Anolis sagrei: one gene and its partners. The protein of the gene in region 1 purifies or fractionates together with the protein of each later gene. This does not show direct contact. Links are inferred from orthologs where the notes say so. Each region holds a gene or a part of one and is shown in the gene's direction. Other genes may lie near its edges.

Region 1 (7,859 bases):
GTGTAAGACCTAGAATCTAGGGGATGGAATTTTTACAAGGCAGTTCCAAACTTTCAACATAGATAAGCTCAAAATCTATGAAATCTTTTGACTGGCCTGGCTGGGTATGATGAAAGTTCTTAGTACACTTTAGCAGCAATTAGGGAAGCCTCAGATATTTTACCCTAGGATACATCTACACTGTAGAATTAATGCAGTTTGACACCGCTTTAACTGCCATGACTCAATGCTTTGGAATCCAAGGAGTTGTAGTTTCACAAAGTCATCTGCCAAAAAGTGCTAATGCCTCAACCAACTACAAATACCAGGGTTCTATAGCATTGGGCCATGGCAGTTAAAGTGGGGTCAAACTGTTTTAATTCTACAGTATTGATACAGGCCTATAAGTGCAACCTCTGCAGCAACAATTAAGATTAAGTAGCTATAAAAACTGTATACACTGTAGCTGGTATTTGTTGTGATGGATTAATTTACTGAAGCTGTAATTCTGTATTTACATGCCTGAGAATTAGGTCCTACTGAAAATAAGAATTGTGATAAACGAATGCAATAGGACTAGAGGTGCATCAATATTGTAGAATTAATGCAATATGACATCACTTTAACTGCCATGGCTCAATACTGTAGAACTATGGAAGTCGTAGTTTTACAAGGTCTTTCATCTTCTCCGGCAAAGAATCTGGGGCCTCACCAAACTACAGATCCCAGATTTCCTACCATTGGGTAATATATTACATCTCGAAAGCTGCAGTTTGTTTGGGCACCAGCATTCTTTAGAAGGCTAAAGACCTTGTAAAACTACAACTCTCATTAATTGTTCAGTGTAGCTCAATGGTTTGGGCCGCCAGGTGTTTTGGTCTTCAACTCCCAGAAATCCCAGCCTGCTTACCAGTTGTTAGAAACTGTGGGAGCTGAAGTCAAAAACACCTGGAGGCTCAAAGGCTGGGAACCACTGGTGTAGATGCACCCTTGGAGTGAACTGTTAGATTAGTGGTACTAAGCTGTGGGTTCTACAGTGTTGAATTTTGGATCCTAGAATCCTTGACTGTCGGTTCTAATGATTGTGGAAGCCACTCTTAAGACTGATACAACTTCCATGTTATCTCTCTAAAAATCTTGTTACATTTTTATAAAAAGGATCAGATAACACTTTGAAACAAGTTCTGCTCCTGCTGAATTCAAAAAATGTCTTTACGAAATGACACTACTGCAATGACTCTACCTAATGAAGATTTTCAACTGTTAAATAAAAAAATAAGGAAAAAAAATAAAATCTTGTGCACAGCTACTCAGAAGAAAGTCTCACTGTTTTCAATAGATCATATTCAGGCTATATGTATGTAAAATAGTAGCTTTATTCCCAGTCCACTGGATTCAGAGGAATTTATTTAAACTACAAAGCATAATAGCTAAGATTAAGCCTTACAAGTATAGCCTAGGGCTCATCAAAGGCAAAGTTGAAATACATTATTTAACACAAACCGCAGGGTTTGTCCCAGTTGTGCAATGATATGACACCATTGTGATCATTCTACAATTCAAACATAAAATGCAGTATGTGCTGTAAGCATGAATTAGAAATTCGTTTGTGTGCCTGTGTGCAACAATCACACTGAAAGACAGAAGTTTAAAAATAAAAAGCAGATAACAAAAAACCCAGTAATAGGACAACACAGGTATACAAAAGTTTCTTGAAAAAGTAGTAGAACTGTTAAGATGATCTAGAGCAGGCATGGGCAAACTTTGGCCCTCCAGGTGTTTTGGACTTCAACTCCCACAATTCCTAACAGCCTACAAATTTAAAACAAAATGGATAAAAATTGATAAGAGATTTCCTAAACCCAGATGAGACAATTATGGACAATTGTTGTCATTGTAACTGGCTTCTTTGGAATGGACTGAAACAAAGGATCATGAATTGGAGGAAAAATGAAGGCCCAGAAACAGATTTTGATCTAATTTTAAAGTTAAAATTAGAAAAGGAGAAAGGCCTGATGGGTTTAATATACAAGAAATTTGTTGGAAATCGATATAAATTGAAACAAATATTGGTAGAGATATGGAAAGAGGACCTGAATAACAATGATTCAGACACTGAATACTGGATCAATCAATTCAATTAAACATATCAAGTACATAAGGATTAGAGAAACACAAAGGAAAATATTGACTAAATGGTACAGAACCCCAATTAAATTAGCACACATAACTAAATCAACCTCAAAATTGGGTTGGCACAGATGTGGAAAAAATGGCTCCTATACTGGTGGAAATGTGACAGAGTACAAAAATTTTATAATAAGGTACAGAAGGAAATGGAAGAATCAATAGGGCATAAAATGGTTTTGAATTTAAAAGAATTCTTCACCTTGAGCGGAACTTGCTTCCAGCTAAGTATGGATGTCATGAAGCTGTTAAATAGTTCCTTGGGGGAAAAGACAGCTCTTGATGAATACAGTAAAACAGTAAAATAATAATAATTATTATCTATATAAATAAAATGTAATGTTTGTTTGTGGGATTAACATAACTCAAAAACCACTGGATGAATTGACACCAAATTTGGCCACAAGACACCTAGTGACCCAAGGACCATCACTAAAAAAAAATTGAGTTTGTGATTTGGGAGTTGTAGTTGCTGGGATTTATAGTTCACCTACAATCAAAGAGAATTCTGAACTCCACTAACAATGGAATTGAACCAAACATGGCACACAGGACTCCCATGACCAACAGACAATACTGGAAGGATTTGCTGGGCATTGACATTGAGTTTGGGAGTTGTAGTACATCGACATCCAGAGAGCACTGTGGATTCAAACAATGATGGATCTGGACCAAACTTGGCACGGATATTCCATATGCCCAACTAGGAATTCCATATGCCCAACACAGATGGAGCTTGGGGGAAATAGACCTTGACATTTGGGAGTTGTAGTTACTGGGATTTATCGTACACCTGCAATCAAAGAGCATTCTGAATCCCACTAGCAATAGAATTGGGGCAAACTTCCCACACAGAACCCCCATGACCAACAGAAAATACTTAAGGCCATCCAGTCCAACTCCCTTCACCAGGGCAAGAAAACGTACTCAAAGCCCTCCTGACAAAGAGCCATCCAGCCATAGATATAGATATGATTCACACACACACAACTATAGATTTGAAAGGGACCCCTAAAAAAGGACAATTCTATGTTGTATGCTCTAGAGCAGGCAAACCAGACACTCTCCACATCAACACTGACAAAGAAACAGCAAGAAATACTGTTTACCCACAAGCATAAAGAAATTACATATATTAGAAACCAACACTTTCTCTTTACTTTATTTTCCAGATCACAAGACTGGGCCACAGCAACATGTGGCAGGGGGTGGCTAGTAATCTATATAAAATGTAACGTTCGTTTGTGGGATTAACATAACTCAAAAAACCACTGGATTAATTGCCACCAAATTTGGCCACAAGGCACCTACTAACCCAAGGAGTGACCATCACTCAAAAAAAAAATAATAGAGTTTGTCATTTGGGAGTTGTAGTTGCTGAGATTTATAGTTCACCTACAATCAAAGAACATTCTGAACTCCACCAATGATGGAATTGAACCAAACGTGGCACACAGGACTCCCATGACCAACAGAAAATACTGGAAGGGTTTGCTGGGCATTGGCGTTGAGTTTGGGAGTTGTAGTACATCAACATCCAGAGAGCACTGTGGACTCAAACAAGGATAGCTCTGGACCAAACTTGGCACGAATATTCCATACGGCCAACTAGGAACACAGATGGAGCTTGGGGAAAATATACCTTGACATTTGGGAGTTGTAATTACTGGGATTTACAGTTCACCTACAATCAAAGAACTTTCTGAACCCCACGAACAATAGAATTGGGGCAAACTTCCCACACTGAACCCCTATGACCAATAGAAAATACTTAAGGCCATCCAGTCCAACTCCCTTCACCAGGGCAAGAAAACATAATCAAATACTGTTTACCCACAAGCATAAAGAAATTACATATATTAGAAACCAACACTTTCTCATTACTTTATTTTCCCGATCACAAGACTGAGCCATAGCAATGCATGGGAGGGGACGTCTGGTCTATATAAATAAAAATGTAATGTTCATAATGTTCAAACTTGGCACGAATATTCCATATGCCCAACTAGGAACACAGATGGAGCTTGGGGGAGTTGTAGTTACTGGGAGTTGGGACCTTGACATTTGGGAGTCAAGGTCCCAAAGAGCATTCTGAACCCCACGAACGACAGAATTGGGGCAAATTTCCCACACAGAACCCCCATGACCAACAAAAAATACTTAAGGCCATGCAGTCCAACTCCCTTCACCAGGGCAAGAAAACATAATCAAAGCCCTCCTGACAAAGAGCCATCCAGCCATAGATGTAGATATATATATATATATATGATTCACACACAGAGAGATATAGTATCAAATATAGTATCATAGATTTGAAAGGGACCCCTAAAAAAGGACAATTATATGTTGCATGTTCCAGAGAAGGCAAATCAGACACTCTCCACATCAACACTGACAAAGAAACAACAAGAAATACTGTTTACCCACAAGCATAAAGAAATTACATGTATTAGAAACCAACACTTTCTCGTTACTTTATTTCCCAGATCACTAGACATGGCCATAGCAACGCGTGGCAGGGGATGGCTAGTAATAATAATAATAATAATTCCAAAAGGAGAACCTCAATAACCCTATGAATGGGCAGTCTATACGTTTCGTAGATCTATTGTGTCTCTTTCGCTCCCTCCCTCCGCAAACGAAGAGCACTGGGCGGAAGTGATTGAGTTGGCGTTTTCGCGTTGGCTTGGATTTCTCGCGAGAACAGCCAAAGCCGGAAGCTCCACGTCGGTGAATTGGGCAGTGAGCGAACCTGGGAGCTTCGGGAGGTTGAAGCAGCCCTGAGCGGGAGCTGAAGCCATGGTGAGTCCAGGCTCCTGAAGGCCTCCTCAAGACGGGCCTTGGCTTGGCATTCTGCAGAGCCCCTCCTTTTCCTCGGGCAGGGATGGATGTTTGGGGAGGGAAAGGGGGAGAGAAAGGCCTTTCTAAGGGCCCTTCCATACAGCCCTATGTCCAAGAATATCAAGCCAGGAAATCCCACTATGTCCCACAGGAAATCCCACAAGACCTGTCTTGATCCAGGGAAGTCATGCTACCCCTCTATTCTGCCTTGGTCAGATCACACCTGGAATATTGTGTCCAATTCTGGGCACCACAATTCAAGAGAGATCTTGACAAGCTGGAATGTGTCCAGAGGAGGGCAACTAAAATGATCAAGGGTCTGGAGAACAAGCCCTATGAGGAGCGGCTTAAAGAGCTGGGCATGTTTAGCCTGAAGATGAGAAGGCTGAGAGGAGACATGATGAGGGCCATGTATAAATATGTGAGACATAGTCATAGGGAGGAGAGAGCAAGCTTGTTTTCTGCTGCCCTGGAGACTAGGACACAGAACAATGGCTTCAAACTACAAGGCCTTGTTGTTCTGTTTCTTATTGTGATATGGCCTAAGGGCTAATCAATAAAATTACTACTGCTACTACTACAAGAAAGGAGATTCCATCTGAACATTAGGAAGAATTTCCTGACTGAGAGCTGTTCAGCAGTGGAACTCTCTGCCCTGGAGTGTCATGGAGGCTCCTTCTTTGGAGGCTTTTAAACAGAAGCTGGATGGCCATCTGTCAGGGGTGCTGTGAATACAGTTTTCCTCCTTCTTGGCAGGGGGTTGGACTGGATGGCCCATGAGGTCTCTTTCAACTCTTATGATTCTAAGATTCTAAGACCTCACAACCTCTGAGGATGCCTGCCATAGATCCAGGTGAAATGTCAGGAGAGAATGCTTCTAGAACATGGCCATATAGCCCGAAAAACCTACAACAACCCAATCCACAATATCTGCTTTGAACTGGATTATCTGAGTCCACACTCAGATAATGTGGGATTTTTTTTTTGCCTTCATATTCTGGGATATAGGGCTGTGTGGGAGGGCCCTTAGGGGCATCTGCAGCATAGAATGAATGCAGTTTGACACTATGGTTCAATGCAATGGAGTCATGGGAGTTTTAGTTTGATAGGGCATCAGCATTCTTTAACAGAAAAGACTAAAAAGCCTCATCCAGCATCTAACCATGGTAGTTAAAGTGGTATCAAACTCCATTCATTCTACACTGTTGATCAGGCATGGGCAAACATGGGCCCTCCAGATGTTTTGGACATCAACTCCCACAATAGGGTTAGAATTGGTTGTGGCTAACCAGGAAAGAGTTTTTTGGAGGGCACAGTCACAATTCAGTGTTTTAGAAAGGATGATACCTTACTCTGTCTTGGAGATGCAGCATCTATTACAGCATCCCTAATAAATGACCAACTGATCTCTGATTAGAAATCTCTAATGAAGGTGAGCCAACTGCTTTTGGAAACATTCTGCTGTCCGAAAAGTGTACGTAAAAAGAAAGTCTTCATAATGGTTTATCAGAATCCACTTTTTAAAATTTCAGAACCCGCAATTCTGCCCTCGTGAGGTAGAGACCCAAATATGTGTCATGGTGAATATCTTAGTGAAAGCAGCAACTCAGTAAGTTGCAACAAAAGAAGCAAATTCTCTGAGTTTACACAATCTATTGTTTGATCCACTAATCTGTGGATGTGTACAATTTCAGGGAAATGCTTGAGTTCTTGCTTTAATTCACATTTCCTAAGAAAGAACAATAATTATTAATACCTCCAGCAGTCAAGAATGTGTGGTGGCTCATTTTGTCCAGACCTGTCAATTGTGGTTAGCAACAGGTCTGAAATGAACTTAATATTTTTTGTTGTAAACAAAAATAAATGTTCTTAAGGAACATTTAGCCTATTTTTAACTTATTACAGCTATCCCCTTGATGCTTCTTCATTCCCTTTCTATACTTTAATATAAGTTGTGCATAGTTTATGAAGGACATGATATTGCCTTTTTATCTGTTCCACTTTATAAAATGGCAGTAGCCTCCTTCGTCCAGATCTTGGATCTCTCCTTAACAGTTTTCATATTTGCAAAAATCTTGCATTCAAAACAGTCTCCAGCTCTTTAGTATGGATATATGGCAGCATGTTTGCTTTGCATAAGAATATTTCAGTGGAGACTAGTAAAGATGTGTTCACGTTTGTAGTATGTATTGGTTTGGAATGGATTCTTGAGTTACTCAAGCCAATATCTGAAAGATTTTGACTGTGTTGAGGTCAAAGCAATGTGTCTCTTGTATAAATATCACTGGTTGTTTCGAATTGGTCCTTCTTGTGACATAAATATCTTAAACAACTGTCTTCTTTTTAGCCTCTCCGACTTGATATAAAGCGTAAGCTCACAGCTCGATCTGACCGTGTGAAAAGTGTAGACTTACATCCTACAGAGCCATGGATGTTGGCTAGTCTTTACAATGGCAGTGTCTGTGTCTGGAATCATGAAACACAGGTAAGATTTCATATAAGACTTGTTGATTATAAAACCATAGTTTTTTTAGTGTGCTACTACATGTGAGGTCACCATTAAATGTGGTGCAAGAATTCTGTTGTCAAAATCACAGTGGTGGTTTTTTCCCCAAATTTAACAGCAATTACAGCATCTTTCTCGATTACATCGATATAATTTCACTTCTTATGCCATTTTCTCAGTTAATTCCCTGACCAAGATTTATTAAGTAAGTGTTTCTCCCTTAGCATTTTTTTTTACTTTTTTGTAAGTTATTTCTTTTTCTGAAAATTCTAAATTTTAATGTGGCTTTTCATGTCTAGGTGGTTTTAAAAGACATTTGCATAAATTAGTAATGTAAGGTCTAATC
Region 2 (7,058 bases), on another chromosome or scaffold:
ATATTGGGGCTGAAAAAACCTCTTACTGCCTCTAACCTCTCAAAGAGGCATTTCCCTGTTTTTTGATGACAAAAAAAACCAAAACAAAACAAAAACAGCACAAAGGCTTGGAAACAATGTACCATAATATAAGATCATCAGAAGGAGCCCTTCACAGCCCCACCATCATCACAAGCATTGTTGGTGGGGACACAAGAGGGGCTCTTTTACACTGTAGAATTAATGCAGTTTGACTCCATTTTAGCTGCTATGGCTCTATAGTATGGAATCATGATAGTTGGAGTTTAGTGAGCCCCCAGCATTATTTGTTGGAGAAGCTAAAGACGTAAAACTACAACTCATGTGATTCTATAGCATTGAGCCACAACAGTCAAAGGGCCCTTCCACACAGCCCTATATCCCAGAAGGCAGAAAATCTCACAATATCTGCTTTGAACTGGGTTATCTCAATCCACACTCAGATAATGTGGGGGTTTTCTGCCTTGATATAGGGCTGTATGGAAGGGCCCAAAGTGATATCAAGTTGCATTAATTCTACAGTCTTGTAGTTTAGTCTGATGGCTTTTTGCTCAGGTAGGCTTTTAAATGTTTTAATTAATGGGCTTTGGGAGTGGTGTATTATTTTAGTTGAACTGTTTTTATGAGCTTTATATCTTTTAATATTTGTTGTTTATTCATTCAGTTGCTTCTGACTTTGTAACCTCATGGATCAGCCCACGCCAGAGCTCCCTGTCGGCCGTCATTACCCCCAGCTACTTCAGAGACAAGCCAGTCACTTCAAGGATACCATCCATCCATCTTGCCCTTGGTCGGCCCGTCTTCCTTTTTCCTTCCATTTTCCCCAGCATCATTGTCTTCTCCAAACTTTCCTGTCTTCTCATTATGTGGCAAAAGTACTTCATTTTTGCCTCTACTATCCTTTCCTCCAGTCAGGCTTTATTTCCTGGATTATGGACTGCTTGGATCTTCCCTAAACTACAAATCTGCTTTTTTATCTGACTTACTTGGGAACTGCGATTTCCTTCCTTGGACCCCTGGGCTCCATTCTGTAGTGTGCTGGTCATAGACTGTAATAAATAATTATTAATAATAACAATAATAACACTGGGCATGCGTATTCAGCAGCAAAGTAGCAAAGCATAAGGGCAGATGCCTTCATTGTCTCTGGTTGTGATCTCCAGGTTGTGGTCAAGAGAAGGTCAAGGGCTTGAACACTGTTTCCATCCTAAATATCTCGGTGTCACCTTAGATCGAACACTAGCATATAGGAAACACTGCTTGAACACCAAGCACGAAGTAGCTGCACACAATAACATCCTGCGGAAATGTGCTGGCAGAACATGGGGTGCAGACCCAAAATTAATAAGAACATCAGCCCTAGCCTTGTCTAACTCAACTGCCGAGTATGCCTTGCCTGCCCTGTTTGGAATAAGTTTGGCATAAGTCTGCCCATGCAAAGCCGGTGAACATAGCATTGAACTAAACATGCAGAATAATCACAGGATGTCTTAAGCTTACACCTGTTGACAAACTCTACAAGCTATCCCCCCCCCCAAAAAAAACTACCACTCCTCTTGGCGTCCCCCCAGCAACAGCAAGGGTATCCCTCTGGGCAGCTAAACGAAGAAATTCCAACTGGATGGCCTCCATGAGGGTCTTCCTCCAAGAGCGGGCAACTTGGAAGTCCCTGAATAGACTCAGAAGCGGAGTGGGCAGATCAAAAGATAATCTGGCAAAATGGCACTAACTAAAAGAATCCCACACCTTGTGTGAACATACAACTCTGCATCTGTATGCTTGTCCACTATGCCCTGCCTCATGTACAGAGGAAAAATTGTTGGAGGCCCATTTTTAGTCAAAAGATATTTAGCCGCCTGCGCTCTTTCTATTTTTATCAGTTTGACTAGCTGTACCTGCCACGCGTTGCTGTGGCCAACATTCACTCCCTCTCTCTCCTTCTTTCCCTCCTTCCCTTTTCTTCTTTCCTTCTCTCCTTCCTTCCTTCTTCTGCTTTCCTTCCTCCCTTTTTCTTTTCCTTCCCTTTCTTCCTTCCTTCTCTGCCTCTTTCCTTCCTTCCTTTGCTTTTTGCTTCCTTCCTTCCTTTTGTCTTTCCTTCCCTCCTTCTTTCTCTTTCTTTCTCTTCTTCCTTCGCTCCCTCTTTCCTTCCTTTCTTTTCTTTCCTTCTCTCCTTCCTTTTTTCTCTCCCCATTTCTTTCCATCCTTCCTCTTTCTTCCTTCTCTACCTTTCCGTCCTTCGCTCTTTGTTTCCTTCTTTCTTTTCCCCTTCCTTCTCTCCCTCTTCCTTCCCTTTTTTTCTGTATGTAATTTATCTTTTCGTCATTTATCTTTTGGGAGGTTTTAAGTCCTTTCCACTGGTTTTTTTTTTTTTTTTTTGGATGGGGAGTATGAGTGATGGTCACTCATTGGTCTGTTTGGAGTGTTGGGTCCAAATTTTGTGTCATTTCATCCAGTGGTTTTTGAGTTATGTTAATCCCACAAACGAACATTATATTTTTATTTATATAGATACTAATTTATGCAATGCTTTTGACACTAAATAAATAAATCCCCAGGTTGTGCCATTCAGCTTTCGTATGATATTATTTCAAACAGAAGGGACAGAGAATTTCATCTATGCTGACGATCGTGCCATTACTGCTCAAGCAGGGAGCTTTGAGATGGTAGAACAGAAGCTTTCCGAAGCTCTAGGTGCTCTTACTGCCTATTACAGGGAAAACCAGCTGATCCCCAACCCATCTAAAACACAGACATGTGCCTTTCATCTCAAGAACAGAGAAGCATCCCGAGCTCTGAAGATCACCTGGAAAGGAATCCACTGGAGCATCGCAGCGCACCCAAATACCTGGGAGTCACTCTGGACCATGCTCTGACCTACAAGAAGCACTGCCTGAACATCAAGCAAAAAGTGGGTGCTAAAAACAATACCATACGAAAGCTGACTGGCACAACCCGGGGATCACAACCAGATACAGTGAAGACATCTGCCCTTGCGCTGTGCTACTCTGCTGCTGAGTATGCATGCCCAGTGTGGAACGCATCTCACCACACTAAAACCGTGGATGTGGCTCTTAATGAGACATGCCACATTATCACGGAGTGTCTGCGCCCTACAGCACTGGAGAAATTACACTGCTTAGCCGGTATTGCACCACCTGACATCCGCCGGGAAGTAGCAGCCAATAGTGAAAGGACCAAGGCAGTGACATCTCCAGCTCATCCCCTGTTTGGGTATCAGCCAGCACATCAATGACTTAAATCTAGAAATAGTTTTCTAAGATCTACAGAGACACTCGCCGGAACACCTCAGCAAGCGAGAGTCCAAAAGTGGCAGGCTAAAACCCAGAACCTCAAATCAATGGCTGATACCAAATGAGAGACTCCCTCCTGGGCACACAGAAAACTGAGTGAACAGACTGCGCTCTGGCACCACGAGATGCAGAGCCAACCTTCAGAAATGGGGCTACAAAGTGGAATCCTCGACATGCGAGTGTGGAGAAGAGCAAACCACTGACCACCTGCTGCAATGCAACCTGACCCCTGCTACATGCACCATGGAGGACCTTCTTGCAGCAACACCAGAGGCACTCCAAGTGGCCAGATACTGGTCAAAGGACATTTAATCAACGACCAAACTCACACATTTTGTATTTTGTCTGTTTGTTTGCTTTGTTCTGTTAGAAATGTAATATAATTTGACTGGTTGTCCTGACACGACAAATAAATAAAAATAAAATAAATTTCAAGCACGTGTCTGAGCCAGGCCCCAATCCTGCCTCTGCCTTAAGAGCTTCCCTCTTCACCATGGAAACTGGCGCATTCTTTCCTTCCTGTAGCTGGGAAGCGAGGGCAAGTGAGTGACAGCTTCGTTTTCGAATCACAAACGGAGGCGGGGCTTCAAGGCGAGCCACGCCCCCTCCCTGTTGTGCAGTGAGGGAAAAGGCAGCCCTGGTGAAAGAGGTGGCAGGTTAGACGAGGAAGTCGAGAGGCGGCCAATCAGCAGTCGCTCAGCGCGGCGAAGGCGGGGCCTAACGGAGAGACGGGCCCGAGGCCAGCCAATCCGGTGCAAGCTAGGTCCGTGCTCCACGTCGGCATCAGAAGCGACCAAGATGGAGGCGCTGATCCTGGTAGGAGCCGGAGGGGCAAGAGAGGGGGAGAAGGGGCCTTGCGAGGGCGCGCGCCGTCGCCATGGAGACGGGACCCGGTGGGCGGGGCCCGTCGCCGGTTGCTGGGGGCCTCCTTGGGTCCGGGCCTGGGCTGGGAAGGGGGCCTCCAGCAGGGAACAGAGGGGCCGCTTCCCCCGCTATGGAATTAAAGACAGCTTGACGCCACTTTGGCTGCCATGGCTCAATGCTGTGGAGTCTGGGAGCTGTAGTTTGGTGAGGTCCCAGCCCTCTGGCCAAAGAAGGCCCAAGCAATGGTTCCCAACCATTGTGTTTTGGCCTACAACTCCCAGAAATCCCAGCCAGTTTACCAGCTGTTAGGATTTCTGGGAGTTGAAGGCCCCATTTGGGGACCTACATGTTGAGGACCATTGGCAAGGCCTTGTAAAACTACAACTCCCAGGGAGCCGTGGCAGCTGAAGAGGTAGCCTTATCTATATGACCATAGAGCAGAAATGTGAAGACAAAACTGTTTTTAAGTCTAGTCAAGGCACTCATTGCCTCTGCAGTGAATGGATCCTTTGAACTCCCAACTATTATAAGGCAGGAATAAAGTGCCCCTTTGCTCCCTATAAACTAGGAACTACATTTCTCCAGCATCTTCCAATCCCCATGGGTGACAGGCGAAACAAATCGGCCAATCCAAAAAGATGATAGCCATGTATAAATATGTGAGAGGAAGTCACAGGGAGGAGGGAGCAAGCTTGTTTTCTGCTTTCCTGGAGACTAGGATGCGGAACAATGGCTTCAAACTACAAGAGAGGAGATTCCATCTGAACATGAGGAAGAACTTCCTGACTGTGAGAGCCGTTCAGCAGTGGAACTCTCTGCCCCGGAGTGTGGTGGAGGCTCCTTCTTTGGAAGCTTTTAAACAGAGACTGGATGGCCATCTGTCAGGGGTGATGTGAATGCAATATTCCTGCTTCTTGGCAGGGGATTGGACTGGATGGCCCATGAGGTCTCTCCCAACTCTTTGATTCTATGATTCTATGTTATTCATCTCAATTGTGCCTCCTTGAAAAGGGAGATCACTCCCAAGAGAAGAGTCCATCAGCTGGTACAGGTTGAGCATCCCTTGTTGGGTATCTGGAAATACTCCCAAATTATCCACCTGAGTACCTGAGACATTGTCCTCTTTGTGGGTGCTTCAGTTTAGACAATATAATAATAATAATAATAATAATTTTAAAAAAACTATTTATACCCCACCACCATCTCCCCAAGGGTACTCGGGGTGGCTTACATGAGGCCAAGCCCAACAACACATCAGTAAAACCAAAACAGCAAGCAAATAAACAGTGCAATTAATATAACTCACATATAAACAATAACACAGAGAATTTAAAACCTTATGTACAGACAAACTGTGTTCTGTGAACTTACTTTCATTATTAAAAATATTGTGCTTAAAATACCACCAGCAATGTATATACATTTCATGTTTAGATTGGGATCCCTGCTTTTGAAGATACCACATGTTGGGTGTATATTCAAATACAGCTATTCCAAAATCCAAAACACTTCTTGTCTCAAGCTTTTCAAATAAGGGATACTCAACCTGTCACCATAATTGGTCTCCCATTATGCTGGATCTACACTGCCAAATAATCCAGTTTGTGAATCCAGATTATCTGCTTTTGATTATATGAGTCTACACTGCCATATAACATATAACAATTCAAAACAGATAAATTGGATTCAGAAACTGGATTATATGGCCTTGTAGATGAGGCCTTAGGGCCCTTCCACATCACCATAAAACACAGAATATCAAGACAGAAAATCTCACAATTTATGCTTTGAACTGGGTTATCTGAGTCCACCCTGCCATATATTCCAGTTCAAACAGATAATGTGGAATTTTATTCAGCTGTGTGGAAGGGGCCTTGGTTAGTTTTCCTCACAGAGATCCTCCATAGAAGTTGTTGCTTGTGTTCATTTGTAATGCAGCATTGTAACCCTATATTAAAAGAACCTGAAACTGTTATAGGAAATGCTGGGGCTTCAGACAATTACTAATGAGGGCTGTGTGTATGTGTCCACTGCTGAAGTTAACATGACTCACCAAGCATTTGATTATTACAGGACTTAGAGGCAGTGTTGTCCAAAGCAGTAGTCCATGGGCTGGTGCTGATCTGCAAGTTAGAGAGGGTCTAGGAAAATAAGAAACAGTTGTCATTGGGCACAAATATTGGGCCAATCCATTGCACATTAGGAGGAAAGGTTGCTGGTGTCCTATATCTTACAGCTTTAGACTACATTCTTAAGATTGCGATGCCATACACATATGATTGTTGTAGACTTATCTTTACTTCATAGAATATCCAAACTACAATGACTGTTTAATGCAGTTTCAAACCAGTGTTGACTGGTTCCAGGAAATCCTGGAACCAGTTGGAGGCCCGGATAGTGACTACACAAAGCTTAAGGGCTTTCTTTTGTGTACTTTTGTAGGAGTTTGTTATCAGGCAGCTACAGTTTGAATCGAACATTGAACTGAATTAAATTGTCAGTTTAGATGGGGCCTTGTTTAGTTGCTGAGCTATTAGTTCTGTACAGATTATGGACTTCGCTGTTAACTGTTGCCAACTGTACATTGACTTATGGCAACCCTATGAATGAGAGACCACCAATTCACTCTATCCTCATCTGATTTTTCAGGCTCAAGTTGGTGGCTTTTTTGCTTGAGTCTAACCACCTGGAATGTGGACTTTGTCTTTAAGTGTTTGCACCTTACCAAGCATTACTGTCTTTTCTAATGAGTCATACCTTCTCATGATTTGTATAACAGTCTCGGTTTAGCAATCTTGACTTCTCGGGAGAGTTCAGGTTTGATTTGCTCTAGGACTCATTCATATGTCTTTTTAGCAGTCCACC
Region 3 (7,385 bases), on another chromosome or scaffold:
TTCAATGGGTTGTAGGTTTTTCGGCCTATATGGCTATGTTCTAGAAGCATTCTCTCCTGATATTTCACCTGCATTTATGGCAGGCATCCTCAGAGGTTGTGAGGACAATTTCAATCATTCCTAAATCACCAGGCCAGTGACGTGGACAGCAAGTTAAGGAAGGCCTCTGTAACCCGTTAATACTAGGATATCAACACATTCATTTCTGTTGTTCAGATCCAAGCTGCAACAAACTCAGGTGGTGGTGAGATCAAGATTCCCAATATGGATTCCTAGATAAGGCTATTACTCACATCATTCCTGATTGCTAATCGCATTGATTGAGGCATCCTTGTGTTGAAACGTAGCAACATCCAGGGACTAAGGGTGTGTCTACACTGTAGAATTAATCCAGTTTGATGCCATCTTAAATGCACGGTTCAATAGTGTGTGTTATTGGAAGTTGTGGGTTTACAGTCATGATCGTTAGCCTTCTTTGCTGGATAGTGTTGATGTCTCAACAAACTACAACTCCCAGGATTCCATAGCATTGAGCCAGGGCAGTTAAAGAAAGAGAACAAAGACATGTTTGTGGGACTAAGCCTTTGGCAAGTAAAATAATGCAATACAAAGAATAATTAAGGAACATGTGCAATGACGATCGGAATGGCTATGGTGCACGATTTTTGGATCATGTGATTTTAATATTTATACTAGGATGATTTTAATGCGTCACCTGAATGTTTACATTTTGTTTATGCCTTATGTTTAGTTTTAATTATTTTAAGTCATAGTTATTAGTTATTATGTAGTAATTAGTTATCATGATCTCTTTTTTTATTGTATGTTGGCATTGAATCTTTGCCATTAATATATTGTAAACTGCACTGAGTCTCCCCAGGGGTGAGAAAGACAGTATATAAATATAGTAAATTAATAAATGGTGTCAAACTGCATTAAGTCTTGAGTGTGCGTGCACCCCAAATCTGGAAATTAGTTATCTAGCCAGACTTGAGTGTAATGTCATTTTCATCACAGTCTGATCTTTCTGTGTTGTCAGAATGATTTAAATCTAGACAAATATCATTCACAATCTCCAGAATGCCAATTCCCACCTGTGCTACTTATCATAGCCAGTGATGCGGGAAGATGGATGTGGCACTGTAATAACATCTGGAGGGCCACATTTTTCCTAGCCATGGTTTACAAGCCACACTGGTCAGGAAACTGCAGAAAAATTTATTGTCTCTTTCAGAACAAATGGAAAGTCCTAAGGTGACTATATATACAACTTTAGAAAAGGACACTACATGAATGAAAAAATAATTATAATTATTGGGTTGTTGTGAGTTTTCCAGGCTGTATGACCATGTTCCAGAAGCATTTTCTCCTGACATTTCACCCACATCTATGGTAGGCATCCTCAGAGGTTGTGAGGTCTGTCAGAAACTAGGCAAGTGAAGTTTATATATCTGTGGAATATCCAGGGTGGGAGAAAGAACTCTTGCCTAGTTTCCAACACACCTCACAACCTCTGAGGTTGCCTGCCATAGATGTGGGTGAAATGTCAGGAAAAACTGCTTCTGGAACATGGCCACACGGCCTGGAAAACTCACAGCAACCCAGTGATTCTGGCCATGAGAGCCTTTGACAACACAATTATAATTATTTTATTTTTTACCCTTCCTCTCCTCATATTGGATTTCTGTCCACAAAATAATAATAATAATAATAATAATAATAATAATAATAATGCAAAGACTCCGACACAAGCCAGTCAAGGTGGTCCCAGTGGTGATATGAGGATTTAAAGATTGAACTGCAAAGACTCTGGCACAAGCAAGTAAAAGTGGTCCCAGTGGTGATTGGCATATTGGGTGCAGTGCCTAAAGACCTTGGCCTGCACTTAAACACAATTGGCATTGACAAAATTACCATCTGCCAGCTGCAAAAGGTCACCTTACTGGAATCTCTACGCATTATTCGCCGATACATCACACAGTCCTACACTCTTGGGAAGTGTCCAACGTGTGATCCAATACAACAGCGAGCAGAGTGTTTTCTGTGGACTCAACTTGTTGTATTTATAATAATTATAATAATTATAATAATTATAATAATAATAATAATAATAATAATAATAATAATAATATATCACACAGTCCTAGACGCTTGGGAAGTGTTCGGCTTGTGATTTTGTGATATGAAATCCAGTATATACGTATATCTCGTTTGCTGTGACATACTGTGTTTTTGTTTCAGTAAAATAATAATAATAATCTTTATTTATACCCTGCCATCATCTCCCCGGAGGGGACTCAGGGCAGTTAACATGAGGCCAAGCCCAAAGATAAAATTGTTGTTCATTCGTTCAGTCGTTTTCGACTCTTCGTGACCTCATAGACCAGCCCACGCCAGAGCTCCCTGTCGGCCGTCACCACCCCCAGCTCCTTCAAGGTCAGCCCAGTCACTTCAAGGATGCCATCCATCCATCTTGCCCTTGGCCGGCCCCTCTTCCTTTTGCCTTCCACTTTCCCCAGCATAATTGTCTTCTCTAGGCTTTGCTGTCTCCTCATGATGTGGCCAAAGTACTTCAACTTTGTCTCTAGTATCCTTCCCTCCAGTGAGCAGTCGGGCTTTATTTCCTGGAGGATGGACTGGTTGGATCTTCTCGCAGTCCAAAGCACTTTCAGCACTTTCCTCCAACACCACAGTTCAAAAGCACCTATCTTCCTTCGCTCAGCCTTCCCTAAGGTCCAGCTCTCACATCCGTAGGTTACGACAGGGAATACCATGGCTTTGACTAGGCGGATCTTTGTTGCCAGTCTGATGTCTCTACTCTTTACTATTTTATCGAGACTGGACATTGCTCTCCTCCCAAGAAGTAAGCGTCTTCTGATTTCATGGCCATACAATACAGCAAAATAAAATACAAAATACAAAACAACAAAAATTACATCAGAATGAAATGCATACAGTAGCAAAATAAAATAAATAAATAGAAATAACATAATGGAAAAGCTTTCAAAAGCATTAAACCTTACCAGAAAAAGACAGATGACAACCTTAAGAATGCAAATTGATCAGAATGAGTAGGATTTCTTTTTCTTTCACCTTTCCACTTAATTTTTCCCCCTGAAAAACAATTCAAATTATTTGTGCTGCCTGATCAATAAAAAGGAGTCCTTAAAAGGTGTTAACTTTATGGAAGGTGCTTAGAAAGGAAGTTTTCCTTCTCTTCCACTTAAGAAAAACACTGTTCCCAACATACTGCTAAACAGGACAAAATTAAGTTTATTTTCAGCTCTTATTTTGAATGCAAATTATACAGAGATATCTTATTTGATGCCACAGGGCTTCCCAAATGATGCCTAACATATTGTCGAAGGCTTTCATGGCCGGAATCCCTGGGTTGTTGTAGATTTTTTCGGGCTGTATGGCCATGGTCTAGAGGCATTTTCTCCTGATGTTTCGCCTGCATCTATGGCAAGCATCCTCAGAGGTAGTGAGGTCTGTTGGAACTAGGAAAAGGGGTTTATATATCTGTGGAATGACCACTCTCACAACCACCATGTCAGACTACACAGAGAAGCCATTGAAATACACAAGCATGTGGACAATTTCATCAGAAAGGAAGAAACCATGAAAGTGAACAAAATCTAGCTACCAGTATTAAAAAAAACTCTAAAATTGCAACAGCACAATAACAGAGAGGAAGCAGGTAGCGACATCTAATTACCTCTCAACAAAAGTTTGCTCCAGGCACAGTCAACCCATTGTATGCTAATCAAGGTGGTCAGTTGAAACATTCACACCTAGCTCCAGCAGACAAGAGTCCTTTGTCTCACCCTGGTCATTCCACAGATATATAAACCCTTTTCCCTAGTTCCAACAGACCTCACAACTTCTGAGGATGCTTGTCATAGATGCAGGCGAAACGTCAGGAGAAAATGCCTCTAGATCATGACCATATAGCCCGAAAAAACCTACAACAACCCGATGCCTAAACACTCTAAAAGCACTAGATTCTGGTGGATCTAGGAAGTTAGGCAGGAGGTTATCTTTCAAAGGAAGGAAAGGGCAAAACAACCTGAATAGTGTGACATTCCTACAGACTCTGCCCACCTCCCCATAAGCCAGGCATGGGCAAACTTCGGCCCTCCAGATGTTTTGGACTTCAACTCCCACAATTCCAGGGTTGAAGGGGGGGGAAGGTGCTATTCTTAACGTTCTACGCTTGGTCTTCCAATGGCTCCGCCCCACGAAGCGTTCCCCGCTGCTATTGGCTGAGGGATCGATGACGTCACACGCCTTTCCCCTAAGCTCCGCCCTCGCACTGTCAGCCACGTAAGCCCTCTTTGGGCCTCACCAGCGCAGCGTGCGCATGCGCCTTTCTGTCAAAGCTGAGCCCAGTCAGGGTTGTCATGTTGGCAGGAAGTGGCGCCCGGGCAGGAAGTAGAACTCTTCAGGGCTGCAGGCAGAGCCAGGTGCTGCCTTCTCCTCCTCCTCCTCTTGTTCTCTATTTGGGCCCTTTCCCCTTCCCTCCCTCCTGGTGAGTTGTCTGCCTCCTCTTCCACCACCCCTCCTCTGCCAAGGGACAAGATGCTGAAAAAATTCGACAAAAAGGATGAGGAATCCGGTGAGTAATGCTGGGGACCATGGGTGCATCTATACTGGAGAATTGATGCAGTTTGACAGCACATTAGCTGCCTTGGCTCAATGCTATGGAATCCTGGGAGCTGCAGTTTGGTGAGCCACCATCACTCTTTGGCAACTACAACTCCCATGATTCCACAACATTGAGTTAGGAAAGTTCAAGTGGTGTCAAACTGTATTAACATCATAGCGTAGATGCTCCCCAGATGTAGTTTGGATTTTAGATATTATTATTATTATTATTATTATTATTATTATTATTATTATTTGAAACACAACAAGATGAGTCCACAGCAGATAAGATTATTCTGCTGGCTGTTTAATTAGATCACATGTCAGTCCCTTCTCAAGCCTAAACACTCTAAAAGCACTAGGACTGTGTGATGTATCGGTGAATAATGTGTGCAGATCCCAGTAAGGTGGCCTTCTGCAGCTGGCAGATGGTAATTTTGTCAGCGCCGACTGTGTTTAAGTGCAGGCCAAGGTCTTTAGGCACTGCACCCAGTGTGCCAATCATCACTGGGACCACCTTGACTGGCTTGTGCCAGAGTCCTTGCAGTTCGATCTTTAAATCCTCATATTGTGTCAGCTTTTCCTGTTGTTTCTCTGCAATCCTGCTGTCATCTGGGATTGTGACATCAACAACATTATTATTATTATTATTATTATTATTATTATTATTATTATTATTATGTTTTTGGCATGCTCCTGTCATTTAGGAAGAAATTGAAGTTGTGTTTCTGGGACCAGGCTTTTGGACAACAGACATAGATAGTACTTTGGACATGGAATTGGATATGGAATTGACTGGAATGATGATACGGCTATTAATACTGTTTTTTACTGTGTTAATGAATGTTTTACTTATTGTTTTAATTGTTATTATATTGCTCTGTTATATGTAGTGGCATCAAATTGCTGCCAAATGTAAGCCGTCCTGAGTCCCCCTTCGGGGGTTGAGAAGGAACGGGATAGAAATAAATAAATGTACATGAGATATTTTGGAGACAGGACACACCCCGAAACACCAATTTTATTTATATTTCATATACACCTTATGGGGTCCCCCCAGTGGCTCAGCGGGTAAAACTGCTGAGTTGCTGAACTTTCCAACCCAAAGGTCAGCAGTTTGAATCCAGAGAGCAGGGTGAACTCCCACTGTTAGCCCCAGCTTCTGCCAACCTAGCAGATCGAAAACATGTAAATTTATTTATTTATTTGATGCATTTATTAACCGCCATTCTCAGCCCTTTAGGGCGACTCATGGCGGTGTACAACACATATAAAAAGGCAATTTACCAAGAGGCAATTACAACAACATATTAACAATACAACAATTACAAAATTACACTAAAAATCCGCTTCGTCTCATAGTGGAATCATAACCAATCTCATATTCCTTGTTCCTTTCCAGTCGTCTTTACCACATTTTTATAGCACTTAATTAAATGCCTTCTCGAACAGCCATGTCTTAAGGCTTTTTCGGAAGGACATAAGGGAGGGTGCCTGTCTGATGTCTGCAGGGAGAGTGTTCCACAGCCGGGGGGCCACCACCGAGAAGGCCCTCTCCCTCGTCCCCGCCAGACGTGCCTGTGAGGCAGGCGGGATCGAGAGAAGGGCCTCCCCAGACGATCTCAAGGTCCTCGTGGGCTCGTAGGCCAAGATACGGTCCGAAAGGTATTTTGGGCCGGAGCCGTTTAGGGCTTTGTAGGCCAAAACCAGCACTTTAAATTGGGTCCGGTAGCAAATCGGCAGCCAGTGGAGCTGGGACAACAAGGGCGTTGTGTGCTCCCTGCCTCCCGCTCCAGTTAGTAACATGGCTGCCGCGCGCTGAACCAGCTGAAGCTTCCGGGCCGTCTTCAAGGGCAGCCCCACGTAGAGAGCGTTGCAGTAGTCAAGGCGGGATGTGACCAGAGCGTGTACCACCGTGGCCAAGTCAGACTTCCCGAGATACGGGCGCAGCTGGCGCACGAGCCTGAGCTGTGCAAATGCTCCCCTGGTCACCGCTGAAACCTGGGGATCCAGGCTCAACGATGAGTCCAGGGTCACACCCAAGCTGCGAACCTGCGCCTTCAAGGGGAGTGCGACCCCATCCAGCACAGGCATAAATGTGCATATATCAATAGGTACAGTTCCTGCGGGAAGGTAACGGCACTCCATGCAGTCATGTCAGCCACATGACCTTAGAGATGTCTAGGGACAATACCAGCTCTTTGGCTTAGAAATGAAGATGAGCACCAACCCCCAGACTTGGACACAACTAGACGTAATGTCAAGGGGAAACCTTTACCTTAGACATATAGCCTGAAGTTAATTTTGATACCCAATATTTTAAAATAATTTTGTGCATGAAGCATCAATTAACAATTAATCCATAATCTGGAGTTAGTTTAATACAATGTTGTCTAAGATGAAACAAATGTTTTTATACATCAGCTCATTGGAAAGCAACTCTCTCAGCTGCTCATGTGAATAATTTCAGATTTTGGGGGATTTTGGAAATACAGCTAAGGGATGCTTAACCTGTATTGACAAATCTCTTTATGGAGAACAGGGGACAAGTGTGTAGTTATGGAAGATGTATTTTCACTCCTCAGTACAGAGCACCTCAAAGGAATATACCCTTCCATAGTATATAGTTGCCTATACACACTAAGGAAGAGATATCCCTATCATCCAATAAATGGGCCCAAATTATGCAGACTTTTGTGGTTGATGTTTCTCCAGGGATCAACACTGAACTAATATTG

What was found. Proteins that work in one complex are often made in the same cells at the same time.
Region 2: the proteins of COPB2 (region 1) and COPZ1 fractionate together in Homo sapiens (co-fractionation; 6 studies listed by BioGRID and IntAct, with this or other methods). This does not show direct contact. The link is inferred for Anolis sagrei from reciprocal best matches to the Homo sapiens genes COPB2 and COPZ1.
Region 3: the proteins of COPB2 (region 1) and COPG1 purify together in Homo sapiens (co-immunoprecipitation; 8 studies listed by BioGRID and IntAct, counting the BioPlex papers as one, with this or other methods). This does not show direct contact. The link is inferred for Anolis sagrei from reciprocal best matches to the Homo sapiens genes COPB2 and COPG1.

The regions. Positions count from the first base shown.
Region 1 is NC_090023.1:229,602,816-229,610,674, reverse strand, and holds the start of COPB2 (coatomer subunit beta'), read left to right. Parts: upstream 1-4,854; 5' UTR 4,855-4,965; coding exon 4,966-4,968; intron 4,969-7,354; coding exon 7,355-7,492; intron 7,493-7,859. UniProt on the Homo sapiens protein: The coatomer is a cytosolic protein complex that binds to dilysine motifs and reversibly associates with Golgi non-clathrin-coated vesicles, which further mediate biosynthetic protein transport from the ER, via the Golgi up to the trans Golgi network.
Region 2 is NC_090022.1:188,474,484-188,481,541, reverse strand, and holds the start of COPZ1 (coatomer subunit zeta-1), read left to right. Parts: upstream 1-4,039; 5' UTR 4,040-4,127; coding exon 4,128-4,145; intron 4,146-7,058. UniProt on the Homo sapiens protein: The coatomer is a cytosolic protein complex that binds to dilysine motifs and reversibly associates with Golgi non-clathrin-coated vesicles, which further mediate biosynthetic protein transport from the ER, via the Golgi up to the trans Golgi network.
Region 3 is NC_090022.1:56,476,828-56,484,212, reverse strand, and holds the start of COPG1 (coatomer subunit gamma-1), read left to right. Parts: upstream 1-4,366; 5' UTR 4,367-4,581; coding exon 4,582-4,618; intron 4,619-7,385. UniProt on the Homo sapiens protein: The coatomer is a cytosolic protein complex that binds to dilysine motifs and reversibly associates with Golgi non-clathrin-coated vesicles, which further mediate biosynthetic protein transport from the ER, via the Golgi up to the trans Golgi network.